Tamandua tetradactyla: one gene and its partner. The protein of the gene in region 1 interacts with the protein of each later gene in a pairwise test. Links are inferred from orthologs where the notes say so. Each region holds a gene or a part of one and is shown in the gene's direction. Other genes may lie near its edges.

What was found.
Region 2: the proteins of UBE2I (region 1) and RNF111 interact in binary tests that used the Homo sapiens proteins (3 or more experiments, as listed by UniProt). The link is inferred for Tamandua tetradactyla from reciprocal best matches to the Homo sapiens genes UBE2I and RNF111.

Annotation. Positions count from the first base shown.
Region 1 is NC_135349.1:56,133,342-56,141,226, reverse strand, and holds the start of UBE2I (SUMO-conjugating enzyme UBC9), read left to right. Parts: upstream 1-4,694; 5' UTR 4,695-4,786; intron 4,787-5,235; exon of another isoform or gene 5,236-5,301; intron 5,302-7,885. UniProt on the Homo sapiens protein: Accepts the ubiquitin-like proteins SUMO1, SUMO2, SUMO3, SUMO4 and SUMO1P1/SUMO5 from the UBLE1A-UBLE1B E1 complex and catalyzes their covalent attachment to other proteins with the help of an E3 ligase such as RANBP2, CBX4 and ZNF451.
Region 2 is NC_135340.1:74,777,741-74,786,027, forward strand, and holds the start of RNF111 (E3 ubiquitin-protein ligase Arkadia), read left to right. Parts: upstream 1-5,041; 5' UTR 5,042-5,075; coding exon 5,076-5,143; intron 5,144-7,708; exon of another isoform or gene 7,709-7,766; coding exon of another isoform or gene 7,767-7,807; exon of another isoform or gene 7,808-7,813; intron 7,814-8,287. UniProt on the Homo sapiens protein: E3 ubiquitin-protein ligase. Required for mesoderm patterning during embryonic development. Acts as an enhancer of the transcriptional responses of the SMAD2/SMAD3 effectors, which are activated downstream of BMP.

The DNA of each region.
Region 1 (7,885 bases):
AAGGAGCATCAGACACAAGGTTTTCACAATCACACAGTCACATTGTAAAAGCTACATCATTATACAATCATCTTCAAGAATCAAGGCTACTGGAACACAGCTCTACAGTTTCAGGTACTTCCCTCTAGTCACTCCAATACACCAGAAACTAAAAAGGGGATATCTATATAATGCATAAGAATAACCTCCAAGATAATCTCTCAACTCTGTTTGAAATCTCTCAGCCATTGGCACTTTATTTTGTTTCATTTATCTCTTCCCCCTTTTGGTCAAGAAGGTTTTCTCAATCCCTTGATGCCAGGTCCCGTCTCATCCTGGGATCTCTGTTCCACGTTGCCAGGGAGGTTTACACTCCCGGGAGTCATGTCCCACGCAGAGAGGGGGAGGGCAGTGAGTTCACTTGCCGTATCAGCTTAGAGAGAGAGAGGCCACATCTGAGCAACAAAAGAGGTTCTCTGGAAGTGACTCTTAGGCCTAATTTTAAGGAGGCTTAGCCTATCCTTTGTGGGGCTAAGTTTCCTAGGGACGAACCCCAAGTTCAAGGGCTCAGCCTATTGATTTGGTTGTCCCCACTGCTTGCGAGAATATCAGAAAGTCTCCAGATGGGGAAGTTGTATATTTCCCCTTTTCTCCCCATTCCCTCAAGGGGACTCTGCAACTACTCATTTATTCACTGAGTATTTATCAGGGCATCACACCAACCTGGACAAACCAACAAAATCTCATGCCCTATTCAAGATTCCCAGTACTTACGGTGCTAACTAAACTGACCACACAAGTTAAATTAGGAAATACACTACCGAAAGTATAAATTTTGCACCAAAATAAACATCTCTACCTTTAGTCTCATATAGAAGTTGAAGTTTTAAAATATGGACGATAGAACCCCTTACCCCGTCTTCTGATATACCTTAGTCCTATCCAGATGAGCTCCATTCATCTCTCTACTCGATGTCTGATGACTTTTTTAACTTTTTAAACAGTTCCTGTATGTGGTACTGCTGACCTTCACAGCTTCAGAGCTCTCACTGAGTCTCAAGTGTCACATAAATACTCAAAGTTTCTGGACGACCAGTTACATACAAACAGCTCAGTATCTCAGATTTCAGAGTTGCATAGTGGCATTTTTTACAATTGCCCAAAGATAGAAGCAACCAAAGTGTCCCTCAAGAGATGGCTGGATACATAGGGATGACAGTTACATAAAATGGAACATTCTTCATCTGTAGAAAGGAATGAAGTCCTGGGGATGCAACTACATGGATGCAAGTTGAAGACAGCGTGTTGTGGGAAATGAGCCAGACAACAAAAGGACAAATATTGTATGAGCTCACTGACACGGAATAATTAGATTGAGCAAGCCCCTAGAATCAGAAACCAGAATGCAGGCTCCCGGGGGGGGGGGGGGGGGATGGGATGGAGAGCTGTACAGAGTTTCTAGTCCGGACAATAGGGAAGTTTGGCCATGGAAGTTGGTGTTGGCAGTAGCACCCCATGATTACCAGCCCTGGATTCCACATTTGAAGGTGGTTAAAAGGAGGAAACGTTAGGTTGTATGTAAGTTGTTAGAATAATAATGGAAACACAAACGACATAGGACTGTCCGATGTTCACAAGCAGTGAACCTTCATGGAAATTATGGACTATAGTTAATGGGACAATTATAACATTGTTTCATCGGCTGTAACAAAAGCACCACATTAATGCAAGGTGTTAAAAATCGGGAAACTGGTGTGTGTAGGGGGGGAGGATGTTCGGAGACTGTATTTTCCGTGTTATTTTTCTGTAAATCCACAACTTCTCTAGTAATATATACGGAAAACAAATTTTTAAAAAGTCACTTAGAAATTAAAAACAAAAACAAGCAAGCTCCCTGAGACAGGCTCACGCAGGAGGGTTTGCAGAAGGGTTCATTATTTTCCACTCATGACGGATCCACTCCCGTGGACTCCTCAGCTCTGCCAGGAGCAGGGCTAGAGACCGCCCTCCTCCACCCGGGCCTGCGCGCACCGGCCGCTCCGCCTCTGCACCGCCCTGGCCCGCCCGGCGGGGACGCCCCCGGGACCGAGCGGGAGCGCAGGGCCGAGGGCCCGGGGAGGGGCTGAGACGCTCCCCTCGGGCTAGAGGGCTTCCCGGGGAGATAGAGGGGGGCTTGGAAGGGCAACTCCGGAGGACAGGAGCAGGAGCACGGCTGGGTCTGGGGTCTCGGCTCCTTGCGGGCTGGGCTGCCGCGCGGGGGGAACCTCCCAAGTCAGGGTGGGGGCCCAGGGAGGCTGGGGGAGGGGCCGCCCCTCTCGGCCCCTCCCCCAGCGTTAGGTTGGGGGCCCTGCTCCTTCTTTCAACAGATTCTCTCCAGAGCCCTGGGAAGGCGGGATCTGAGGAGATGGCTGCTCCCCAGCTCAGGAGCCCCTCCCCAGCTGCCTTCCTGCGCACCTGCCCCCGCCCCTCTTGCCCACCTGCCTCCTCTGCACACCTGCCCCCCGCCCCTCCTGCACACCTGCACCCCTCCCATCCCCCTGCCTGCGCACCTGCTCCCGGCCCCTCCCCCACCTGCACACCTGCTCCCCACCCCCACCCTGCGCACCTGCTCCCCGCCCCTTGGGCCCCATCTGGGACTCATGCCCAGACCCTAGGCTCAGGAAAGAGGTCCTCTCAGGCCCCGACATGCACCAGGGGGACCAGGTGCCCAGGGCCTCCTCTCGGGCCCCCTCCTGTGCCCCTGCACCCACCCGCAGCGTCCCTTTCCTCTGCCTGTGCCCTCTGATGCCTGGGAGATGAGAATCTTGGGGTCCACGCCCTCCTCCGCCTGCAAGCCCTGGGGCAGGAGGAGTTTTGGGCTGGAGAGCTGCTGGCTCTGGGCAGCCTGCCCCAGGCGCGGTCCTCACTGTTCCACAGCAAGGCTGACGGATGGGGTGCTGCCAGGTCTAAGAACTCAACATACTGGTGCCCAGTGAAGTCAGAATTCCAGATAAACAAAGATAACGTCTTTGTTTAAGTGGGTCTCTGTAACTTCTGGGATGCACTCATACTAAAGAGATATTCACTGTTCATCTGAAATTCCAATCTCACCGGACATCCGGTATTTTCTCTGACGACCCTAACCCCTACGGGGCCCTAATACATACGGGGCAATAGTCCCGGGGCCCTAACACATACGGGCCTACCCGGGAAGCCGGGGAAAGGCGGCAGATAGCCTCGGGGTGAGTCCGACCCTGCCACCGGAGGCGTGTAAGAGGCTGCCCAGGGGCTTCCTGGATCTCCCACCTCCCCGGACCTGCTTCCCATTGGATGGGACGCTGGCACCCACTGCCGTCCTCACAGCCCCTCGGGCCTTCCCAAGTGGACAGAGGCTTGGGGTCCAGAGCTGCTCCCAGAACCCTCAGCCGTCCACGCTGACTGCCCTGTGCCTGACACCTGGGGACGAGGGTGTCTCACAGGGTCCCAGGGACCATCTTGCGTCTCTAAAGACAGACGTCGAGACAGACGTCGGGGCCACCGCTCTTGGACCTCTTCCCGCTGCCAGGTCCTCCCATGATTGAGTGTGCCCTGTCCACGCTGCCACAGGAGCTCCCAGGGCTCAGGGCCCAGGTCTCCTTCACCCCCTGGCATCCTCTCACTAAGCACAGACACGGAGCTGGGGACCCGACTCGCCTTCCCTGCTCCACAACCTTCCATAGCTCCCCATGGCCCTGGGAATCAGGACCCTGCAATTACAACCAGTCTGCCTTGTCAAACAGCACCCCCGTTACCCTCAAGGCCCCCAACCTGGCCCGTGCTACCCACTCCGCGCCCCACGGCTGCGCCCGGCCCACTTAGGCCCTGGTCTCTCCTTCGTCCAGCAGTGGCTCTCTGCTGGGTACCTTCCGCGCGTAGCCCTGTGCTAAGCTCCTGACATCCTCCCATGGAAGACGTGCAGTCCACAACCCCCACGGCAGCTTAGCCCGGCGGCCATGTGCTCCCCCGGGCATGTGTTTACAAGTCCGATTCCCGACCACATGGGGCTGGGGGAGAAGTGCAGACATGCACGAAGCTGGGGGCCCGCGGCTGGGCCTGCCCCTCCCGCCCAGGGGAGGCAGCGTCCCCGGCCAGGCTGTGCTCGGTCAGCGCGGGCCACCGGCGTGAGCTGCCCCGGGGAGCTCTGAGGCTGCGAGGGACGTGGAAGGCCCACCTGCTCACAGGGCCGGCCGCTTGGCACCACCCCAGCCCCTCTGCAGGCCCGGCCGCCACTGAACCCACCCAGGCCCCCCTCCGTCCTCACTGGACTCCCCGGAGTCACAGGTGCCGGGGGCACAGGGACTTCACCCCGGGGCGCCCCGGGCACTGGTGCCTGCGGGCATGAGGTGTGGGTCACCGACTAGGCCCTGCCTCGGGGAAGCCGCGGCCTCGGCACCACGGGCTCGGGGGAGGGGACCGGAAGGAGAGAAAGAAGGAGGGAGGGAGAAGTCCCTCCCCGCGGCCCAGCGAGCCCCTCCGCACGGGCGCCCCGCCCTCCCCCCGGCTCCCCTCCTCCCAGGGCCGGCCCCCGGCTAGGGAGCGTCCGCAGTTCTCCTCCGTCGGTGCCGCCAACTTTCGGCCTTCTGTACGGCGTCAGCCCATTGGGTGGATTCAAGGGACGCCCCGCCCCGGGCCCCGCGGTGGCCAATTGTAAGGACTTTGACAGGGAGCTGAACTTGGGGGAGCGGCACCGGTCTGCGATGCTTCGGGACGGCCTTAGGCCTCGGTGGTTCCTGCTCCCCGGACCCGGGCGCTGACCTCAAGGAGACCTCCGGGACCGGCGCCCGGAGAGGTGTCCACCGGGCATCCGGGGAGCCCTTGGCGGTCTCTGTCCCGCGTTTCCCCCTCAGCTCGTCGGCGCGTCCGCCCGTGGACGCGCACCTCCAGAAAGGGAGTTTGTCGACGCTCCCTGGTTTGCGGGACGCGGCTCCTTTAAGGGGGCAGGTGTCCAGAGTGCGGCCTGACTGGAAGTTCGTACTCCTCCCGGGCTCCCAGGCCCGGCGCGAAGCGCGAGCGCGCGGCGGCGGGACACGGGCAGCAGGCGGCGCGGGGCGGGCAGCGGCGGTGGCGCTGCTGGGCGGCGGCGGCGGCGCACGGGGCAGGCGCGCGGCGGGCAGCCCGGCGCCAGGCCCCGCCCCGCGCGCCCCGCCCGCGCCGGGGTCCTCGGAGGTGCTCGGGCTGCGCGCGGAGCGGGCTCCGGAGGGAAGTCCCGAGACAAAGGGAAGCGCCGCCGCCGCCGCCCGCCGCCCGCGCCCGCTCGGCTCCTCCGCCTCGTCGCGACGCTCACCGGGGCCGCGGCCGCCCGAGGTGAGCGCGGGCCGCGCGCGGGGCGGGGCGGGCGCGCCGGGGCCGCCGCCGGGCCGGCCGGGCCTGGCCTGGGCCGCGGGGGCCGGGCAGGCCTCGGCGGGGGCCGGGCGGGGGCTCGCCGGGGCTCGGCGCCCTCTCACCTCTGTGCAGGGCCGGACGGAGGGTCCGCCGCGCCGAGAAACTTCGTCCCGCCTCCTTCGGGGGAGCGGCTGCGGCGCGGAGTCGCTGTCGGGCAAGCTTCCCCGAGCCCCGGCGTCCCCTCGGCCTTGCGGCTGCGGTCTCACCGCTTTCCCTCTCTGCCCTCGCGGGCTCGGCAGCGGCTCGGGGATGCCCCTGGGTGCTCGGGAGAGCGAAGAGGAGCCCGCAGCTCCGGCGTTGGGAGAGCGGAGCACGGAGCTGCCGGGAAGGCGAAGCGGCAGGACGTCCACCCCAACACGGAGCTTTCGACGGCCGAAGGGGAATTCATTTCTGGGGCCACAGGGCCGGACGACAGACCTGCAGCACTTTGCAGCCGCGGAGCGAAGCCGACAGCAGAGTTGAGAGCCTGGGATTGCTAAAAACGCTGGCTCTTGGGGAGCGGGGTCGGTTTGGTTCTGATGTCTTCATCAAAACAAGTCTCCGTTTTCTTGGTAAAAAGACGTTCTGTGTGAAGCCGATGGATCACGCCGAAGATTAGCTCTGCACTTGACGGAGAGTTCTGTTTTATATTTAAAGTTGCTTTGTGCTGATTGTATGGGGTTGAAAGTAGTAGTTAACCTGAGTGAGAAGGTGAGAGGAGTCGTTGGCGCGGAGCATGGTCCGCGGTCACCGCAGGATCCCTGTATTAACTTGTTTCGTCTTTATCATCCTAAGTTATGTTCAGTTCCTTAGTTTGCAAAGTTACTGTGACTTTTCCCTCCCTTTTGAAGATGATAGCTTTAAATGTTTCTCGTTATACAGAAAACGTTGCCTTTATTTAAAGAACCTACCCAACAGAAAACAGAAATCTGGCTTAAGTCCGTTGTGGTTTGCTTACAGAGAGATTCGTTTGCTCTAGCCCTTTTGAGTGGTGATGGGGTGAATTCTGCCTTCTTGTGTGCCTTTGCTGGCTGGGGTGGAGTCTTGGGACCTTGCTTCAGAAACAGGGGTGATGGGGGGAGCATGGAGGAGGTGCGGGCAGGGTGACAGGGTCTGCTCAGTGCAGGTCGCGTGGGGTTTGCAGAGTTGTGCCCCGCCTTGTTCCAGAGGGTGTCCCAAGCATACAGGCGCCTGTGCTTCCTTCAGTTATCAGTTCATCCTCTCCAGCCTTCCAAGGCCACAGGACTATCACCCTTCCTGCAGATGAGTACATTGAGGTTCGGGGCGATAAATGTCTTGCCCACGCACACACAGCAAGTGAGTCGGCTCTGAAGTCCGTGCCCTCAGCTGGCAGAGTTGATGAAAGGTGCACCCCTCCTGGAGCCCCGGAAGAAGTGGGGGCAGGCTGTACCTCACTGCCCTGCCCAGCGAGCACCTGGCCTTGTCCGGGGGTGGGGAGGGTGTGCTTTGCGGGTTTCCAGCACCTTATAGTTTGTAGGGTTTTATTTTCTTTGGCTTTGCATCATCTAACGTTCCTTCTCTGAAGCACCTGATAGCACTTGACTGCTCAGCCAGTGCCTCTCATTTCTGAAGGTAGATTGAGATGTGGAAGCTTATCATCGAAATGTAACAAGTTGACTGTTTTCTCCTGGAGGAGAGACTGGTAGGAACAGGAGGCTGCCTGGGACAGACACCTGTGGCTCCTTACCCTAATGGCCAAAACATTCTTTCTGGTGTCTGATCTGGTCTGTCAAGGTGGGCAAAGGTGAAACAGATTGTCCTCCCTCACAGGGGGGCTGCAGGGGTCCTATACGACCAGCCCCTGGTGTGAGGGTGCTCCAGGGCACAGGACATTTCAGAAGCAGCCAGCTTAGGACCGTGGCTCTGGTAGGCTCTAACGAGGCCAGGGCCTCGGTTGGAGCTCTGTTCCTTGTCAAATCAGAAGAGGGGCTTGAGGTGGGGTCCCAGCACAAGGTCGGCGGGCAGGTGGCCCTAGAGAGCATCCTGTTGGCTTCTCCCATGTGCCTGCCTTGGGCCCAGTCCCTCCAGAACAAACTGAATGTCCTTTTGCCCCCTTACAGTGTCTGTGGCTCCCTTAAGGACCCACCTGGCCTGGATGATAGCTTAGAGGCGGCTGGTCTTCCCTCACCCAAGTTCTGAGCGTATTAACTGAGCAGATGCCAGTGCTCTCTGCTCTGTGCTGGTGCTGGATGGGGAGCAAGCTGCAGAGGCCTTCCCATGAGCTCCTGTCTTCAGGGCACCTGCATGGGCAGGCAGAGTGGGGAGGCTGGGCATGCAGTGCCCCTGTGCACAGGGTCTGGGAGAAAGGGGCACCCCCAGCAGGGTGGACATGCACTCCAGCTGGCCCTTGGAGGCACCTCGGGTTTCAGCCTGCGGAGGAGCTGGGTCATTCTCTTCCCCAGAAGAACCAGCTGAGGGAAGGGTTTTTAGACACTGGGTTATGGCCATAGCCCCTGGCCAGTCAGCTTACCTGCCTCTGCTACACACCTTTGTCAATTTTCAGCAC
Region 2 (8,287 bases), on another chromosome or scaffold:
ATGTCATACTCTATAAACTAAACAAAGCCTGTATATGTAATCCCATAATCCCAAATCAAATTTTATATGTAAAATTTTAATGAGGACTTGCAATGCCTCAATTAAATCACCCGTGTTACAGCATTTCCCTTGCAGTTTATGTTTCAGTGATCTCTTAGTATCTTGATAATAAAGTAGAATGTTGTGAATCACTAAGGGTTCTGGCTAGTACATCCGTTTTAATTCCTCCCAAAGCTTTTCATCGGGGGAAATATTTCAACAAGTTCTCAAGATTCACTTAACTCATTGCGTTAAATCTGCAAACTTTGCTTCATGTTCTTCCAAAGAGTTCACAAAGCTGGCAACATAGTAAGTTGCCCTAACTTGCAAACTTTATACAGTTTTGAAGTTTGCAGTGGATGGTGGGGATACCAATCCTCCCTTTTGATATAAGTGATTTGTAAAAATTGTCCTTTTATCCTTTTATTGCAGGTGACCCATTAATTCAGCTTAGCATTTTCACGTTTGGACCCAACTCCTCAAATTCCTGCGTAACAGGTAGTTAGGCATTGTCACTCCCTGTATGCAGGCTAATTTGGTAAATATTATTTTGCTGCATGTCAGGTAGGCAAAATTTGGTTTGAAGAATGTGTTGGATCCCCCTGATCTTTCCACAGATGAGTAAAATTAATTTTCAGAGAGTTCAAATGATTTAATTAAAATGAAGGATTCCTAGTTTTTTAGTGGCAAAACTGAACCCCGGTCTCCTTGTTCAGTTCATTAAAAAATTTATTGAGTGCTCTTCTTCTACAAGGATAAAAAGACAAATTTTCTTGGTTTTAGTTTTTTTTGGAAGAGACAGTTGTATATAAAATTTATACTGTTTACAATAGAAGGATATACCAAGATTGAAGAGGGTATGGGACTGGGAGTGATTATTAACTACCTCAGGGTGGGGAAAGTGGCAAGGAAATGCTTCATGGAGAAGGACTTTTTTTTTTTTTTTCATGGGCAGGCACTGCGAATCGAAGCCTGGTCTCCAGCATGGTAGGCGAGAACTCTGCCACTGTGTCACCATTGCCACAGACTTTTTTGTTTCACTTAAAATAATTTTTTTTTATTAGATCAGTTTTAGGTTTACAAAAAAATCAGGCAAAAAGTAAAAACTTCCTATATACACTCCCACACAGTTTTCCTTATTAGCATTTGCATTAGTGTGGTACCTTTGTTACAGCTGATGAGACATTATTATGCTTATACTATTAACTATAGTCCACAGTTTTCTTTAGGGTTCACTCTTTGTGTTGTACAGTTCTATGAGTTTTTTAAAATTTTTTATTTTTTAACATATAAACAAACTCAAATTTTCCATTTTAACCACTTTCAAATATACAATTCAGTGGTGTTAATTACATTCACAAAGTTGTACTACCGTCCCCACCATTTTTTACCGAGCTTTTCTATCAATCCAAACAGAAACTCTACCAATTAATCATTAACTCCCCATTCTCCACTCTCACTTTGGACTCCGTCTCCTGTATGGTAATTTCTGAAACTATGAATCTGCGTATTCTAATTATTTCAAATCAATGAGATCATATAATATTTGTCCTTTTGTAACTGGCTTATTTAACTTAGCATGATGATGTCTTAAACGTTCATCCATGTTGCTGCATGCATCAGAACTTCATTTTTTATGGTTGAATAATGTTCCATTGAATGTATATATTACACTTTTAAAATATACTATTCATGATTAGATGAATTATTATTCATCTGTTGTAGGACACAGATTTTTTTGGAAATTGTGAATAATGCTGCTATCAACATCAGAGTGCAAATATTTACTCAAGTCCTTGCTTTCAATTCTTTTGTGGTATATACCTATAAGTGGGATTACCAGGCCATATGGTAGTACTGTTTTTAACAATCTGAGGAACTGCAAACTGTTTTTCACAGTGACTGCACTTTATATTCCCACTAACAGTGTATGAGTGTTCCTATTTCATGGGGGAGGGTTTTGAGGAATGGATAAGAGTTTGCTAGGCAGATAAAGCAGGTGGGGGATGAAGAGGAATGGGGTAGAGTGCTTTGATGCAGAAAGAACGGTCAGTACAAAGGCAGCGGGAAATGAAACAGTACATTTTTTCTAAGATCTACAGGAAGTCTGAAAAGTCTGCTCAAGTATAAGTAAGGGCAGGAGTGTAGGCTGGTGACAGCGGTGATGTGAAATGGCAGTGAGATTTTAGATTTTGAATACTTTATTTGGCAAGCTATTTAGGACTGTATTCTAAAGAAGACAGAGGGTTCCTGAAGGATTTTAAGCAAATTAGTGTCTTGATCAGTTTTTCCAACATTTTGACAATGGTCTGTAGTTCATTTGGTGATAATGGAAGGAGCAGAAACAGAGAAATCAGGAAAATATTGTGTCCATTTCAGATTAGCGATATCTCTGACCCCTACAATTAGCTATTATATCTCTAAATACAACTTTTTGGCACCTGTTCTCTCATAGTCTTACTGTGTTTCTACTCTGGGTTTCCTGCCCTTGATTTGTTGCCCATATACTTACTGTCTTCCCTGTCTTCATCTGACCACTCAGCCATTTCCAAACGTGAAATCTTAGCAGATGGCCTTACCTCATGTTTCATAGAGAAAATCAAGGTCAATCTATCCGAAAGCCCTCAATTTGCCCCCCAAAACTAAACTGTCTCAGTGGAAGGGGTGGCCCTTCCATTCATGGCTAATTCTTCCACCTGAGCTTTGAATCCCGTTTCTCTGCCTCTATAGGGATTTTTCTCCTTTGAGCATTCCTTTATTTCTATTATCTTTCACCTCTCTTTTCTACTGGCTCTTTCCCTTAAGCAGGCCAATAGGATTCAAATCGTGCCTCTCTGACTCCATATTCTGTTAGATGTGTCTGTCTTTATTCTTCCATTTACTATCAATTTCATGAAAAGATACTTGTCTCTGTCTAACTTCATTGCTCAATCTTTTCTAAACCATTAAGATTTCTCAATCTGGTTACTACTGACATTTTGGACCAGATGATAATTTGTTTTGGGGGGCTGCCCTGTGAATTACAGAATGCATAGCAGCATCCCTAGCCTCTACCCACTAGATGTTAGTTGCATTCCCCTCAATCTCCCCTGGTTGTGACAAACAGAAAATGTCCAACATTGCCAAATGATGTGGGGGTGGGGTGGATGGGAGTGGAGAGTGGTGAGCAAGGATTGTTCCCAGTTGAGAACCACTGATTTAACCCAGCATATCCAAAATATTATTTCAACATGTACTCATTATAAGAAATTAGTGGGATATTTTACAGTCTTCTAAAAATAATCTACTTTACATCGTGGAATTGGATGTAAAATTTCCACTTACAGCACTTTTCAGTTTGTACTAGATCAATTTTAAGAGTTCAACAGCCATATTAGAGAGTGCAGGTCTAAAGCTTTAGATGAAAGATTAGGGCTGTACATATGGGTTGGAGAAATCATGAGGCATTAACAGTTAAAACCATGTTTTAGTTCAGACAACTAAACTAAATAGTTGTATTTAGACAAAAATGTGTATTTTTGTTCACATTTGAAAAAATTTTCAAAGTTCAGACAAAAATGTGTATTTAGAGTGAGAAAATAAGAGGATTAAGGAAGAATCCTAGTCCATTGCTCTTCTAGTTTCCCTACACATCTGCTGCCCCCCCCTTTTTTAAAGATATCTTCACTGAGCAATATGGACAACATGAGTGAACAAAGGAAAGGGTATTGAGAAAGATGAGTTGATGGCAAAGGAATTAATGTTTATTGAACATTTAACTGGTAAGTAATATTAGGGACATTAATTAAACTGTCTCATTTAATCTCACACGAACCCTTTGAGGTAAATAATGCTATCCCAATTTATAACGAAGGAAACTAAGATTTACAAATATTTAATAAACCAAACAGCTGTTAAGTGGCATCATTGAAATTTGAAGGGGAAGTCTGTCTGATTGACTCTAAGTTGGTGCTCTTTCCCTACATCCTCCAAGTGCACATAATGAAGCATGTGCTATCTATTCATTTTATAAGATAATTAAATAAAAAGGCTTATGTGATTGTACAGCTACAGCCAGGTTCCCAGGACGTTTATTACCACTGTTAATCTGATTCCGGAAACAAATTCGCCTTAATAATTCGCACAGTGAGGTGCTGTGCGTGGTCTTTATGCCATTAGCGCGGATGATTTGGATATCACGGGTCGTGAAAGACACCAAACCATGCTGTTTTTAAGTGTACCGTAGGTATAGTCAATAATTTTGTGGCTAGTCCAATTTTTAGTTACAAAAGATTTATCAAAGAGGTAGTAAAAAATTTACCTAGGTATTGAACACACAATCACCAAGGAAAATAAAATAATGAGCTTTGTGACACGTTCGGTTTCGCCAACAGACTGGTAAAGTGATTACAAAGGGGGAGGGGCGGGGCAAGGGGGCGGGACAGTGGGAAACAAGAATCTGAGCAAGCGCAGAAACAAGCGCTATTAATGGAGCCGTGAAGGCTATTGCGCTCTCACTTTCCGAACTGTCGTAAAGGACCCAAGTGTCGTTCTCGTTCTGTAGAGGAGGGATTGGTTAGGCGGCGGCGGCAGCGGTAGTGGAGCAGCAGCAGTGGCGGCGATGGTATCGAGGTCCTCGATTTGCGCAGCATAGAAACGCCCGCATCTTTGGAGAAGGAGTTTCTCTGGGGCGAAATCAGGCATTCTAAACCCAAGCCGGGTTGACTGGGCCGAGCCCAGGCATTGCCGGTCTTACAGTTTTGGTGGCGGTGACAGACGCTGCTCTTGGCTACAGGGGCCTATTTAGGCCGAGATCTGAGTCGCGGATCGCTAGCTCTCGACGCATTCCCTTCCCCCCTCACATCTCCTGTCTTCTTTCCTGGGCCAGTGATTCCCGGACCCTGGGAAGAGGGTGGCTAATGACTAAGGTGAGGGGCCGGGGGGAGGGGATCGATTGGAGGCCGCGCGTGCGCGCATCGGGGGAGGGGCTGCCCAGGAGGCGAGAAAGAGGAAGGGCTGCGGCTGGGGTCGGCGACCGGCGGGTTGTTGCCCGCGGGATGGTGGCCTGGGGTCTGAGTTTGGATTCGGGCAAAGCGTATGTGTACAGACACACCCACACCCCAGAGTAAGGGAGTATGGATGAGGGGATTTCTTTCCTTTTTTGACTCTCCCTAGTCTTATGATGGGGGCTCTTGACTGAGGCGTGAGAGTACAATTTGACAATGGAGTGATGAAGGTAACCTGGACTGAGGGAGTTGGAGGGCGCTAGGTCAACCCTGCCGATTAGGGAGTTGCCTTCTTGTGAGATCAAGGAAACATAGTCCGTGGAACAGCCGAAATACAGACGCGTCAGATATTTGTGTGGAGTTGACTTGTAGATCATTAAAAAAGAAGCTTGATTTTTTTTATTATTGCCCTTAGATAATTTACCAGAGTCAGTAGCTGTGCTATAGTGGACATACCTATTCTGTATTGCAGGATGAGAGATTTTCCCACAATAGTTTTAAAATAGGTTTTGGTAGATTTTTGCAGATGCTTCTTAAAGCAAGGGTAATTTTTAACGTTTAAAAAATACCAGGAAGTATAGGGTGTTCATTTATTTTGTTGGTGTTTGTAGTATGGGGTGACTCCACTGCACTGTTGTAAGCTTTCCTGTTTCTTGGTTTACGTGCACTATGAATTTAGAACTCTTGAGTGATAAGATACAAGCTGACATAGGCTTCGTTTTATATGAGTTCTTACTGCTTTTCAACCTGACTTCAAAGTTTATTTCGCTTGATATTTTATACTTTTCTTGTTTTACGGGCCTCTTCAACCAAAAAGTACAGGATGGGGAAAAGATAAGCCTAATGTTGCCTTACCTTATCTTAGCCTTTGCCATTTTTGTCTTTTATGTCATTGCATTCATATGCTAGAATGTGATTTTGATGTTACCTAGAAGCTCTACAATACGGGTTTTACCTGGCTTAATTAGAGATGAAGATCTACGTTTCTATAGTTTACAATCCTTACTAAAAATTTTCATGTCAACATAAAACATGTTGTTTTTCATACTAAATAGTAGTCTTTGTCTACGTTTGTGGGACAAACCAGATGGGATAGGAAGAAAGCAACCCCTTTACCCTGAAAAGAGTCTTGAATAGGATTTTTTTTTTTTTTTTTTTTACAAAGCCTTTATTTGGTTCCTAACACTGTCTTGCCATTTAACCTTGGACAAATGACTTTATCATCTCTGCTTGGTCATTTTTTTGTTTGCCGCTTAATATTTGTAGTAGTATTCTAAGAATTGGTGAGGGATGTTTTTCAATTGGCTTGAACAATATTGTTGGTAAATTTTAAGAGTAGAGTTTCTGTCTTAGGTAGATCCTTTTTCTTCTGTTACCTTTTCCCTTTTGTTTGGTGTTTTTTGGCCACATAATTCTTTCACTAAAAACTGTTAGATCTTGGAGAAAGGTATTATCCAAATAATATGTTTTGATGAAAAATTTATTATGTAGAGGTTATAACTTGAAATTTCTAGATTTGGTGACTTTCACTTTGGTAGTAAGTCTATTCTCAATTTTTCCGCCTGATTGGGAAATAGCTATACTCATATTTAAAACAAGAGAACAGCAATTTAACATCTAAAGCTAAGAAATTTTTAGTGAATGCGCTTAAATAGAATTATTTTCATTTTTACTCACATTTTAACATGTGGAATGAAAAATTTATTGAATTGAACCAAATTTTACTTAAGGCATAATAATATGTGCCCTTACTTTGATTAAGGACTAAGTAATCAAAGATTACTATGGACTAAGACTTCGAATAGGAAAAAAAAAAATGACAGTCCTAAAAATAATAACAATTAAAATACATTATAATGACGTCACTATTCTCAGAGGACAGTGTCTTATGAAAGAATATAGGACGAGAGACAGTAGATCAGGATTTTTACATCTGGTTTTGCTATCCATTAGACCTTTGACTGTTTTGCTAATCTTTGTTGGCTTCAGATCACTCTCAATTGTTAAAAAGAGAAATTTGGGACAGATAATTCTGGTTTTCTCTAATCTCTTTATTAGATTTGTTTTAAGGTTAGGTGTTTTTGGTATATATTGTTGTATTCATCACAATCAAATCCCCAGAAGGAAATTCTATGCTCAGAGTATAAATTCCTTCATATTATGTATATATATCAGAAAAATACTTAGGATGAAGCCGTGTTTGTTGTTCCACATGAAACTACTGTCCTATTGCAGATACTACTCATGCTCTAACAGCCTTCATTAATAGGGTCCTCAAATATTACTCCTAGTAATGTTCTTTAATATCATCCTGAATGTTTTTTCTTTCAGAAACTTGTAATCATTGTTCAGTAAAAGTCCAGAATTGCATTTGGATGTTTTATACCTCTGTTCTTTGTCTTGTGCATCCTAGAGATTCTTGGTAACAACTGGCCCTGTTTTCCGCAGATGCTTGATATGTACCATTGCATGAGGAGTGAACTACATGTTTATAAACAAATTCTGAGCTGAACTTAATTTTTTTGGGGGGTGCATAGTCCGGGAATTGAACCCGGATCTCCTGCATGGAAGACAAGCATTCTACCATTGAACCACCCGTGCACCCTGAACTTAAATTTTAAGTAGAGGTACTACATTAGTATTTAGTCATTCAGTGTGTATTTATTGAATGTTTTATGTTTTAGGTAATGTTCTTGGTCTTTGGGATTCATCAGTGAAGGTAGCACTCTGCCTTCATGGAGCATGCCCTCTGTTGTGAGGAGACATAAACAGAATAAATTCAGGTAGTGGTAAGTGCCGGGAAGAAAATGAAACAGGATCTGATAGAGACTGGATCTACTATGGATTGTTTAGGGTGTGCCTTTTTTTTTCTTTTTAAACTTTTTTTATTGTATAATATAGCATACGTACAAAGCAAAAAAAGGAAAAAGCAATAGTTTTCAAAGCAGTCTTCAACAGGTAGTTATAGGACAGATCCCAGAGTTTGTCATGGTCCACCATACCATCATCTCAGATTTTTCCTTCTAGCTGCTCCAGAACATAGGAGGCTAGAAGAAATAAATACTTTATTATCACAATCTACTTTTTTTTCTTTTTCGTGAAAAATAGCATGTACAAAAAACCAATAAATTTCAAAGCACAGCAGAACAATTAGTTATAGAACAGATTTCAGAGTTTGATATGGGTTACAGTTCCACAATTTTAAGTTTTTACTTCTAGCTGCTCTAAGATACTGAAGACTAAAAGAAAAATCAATTTAGTGA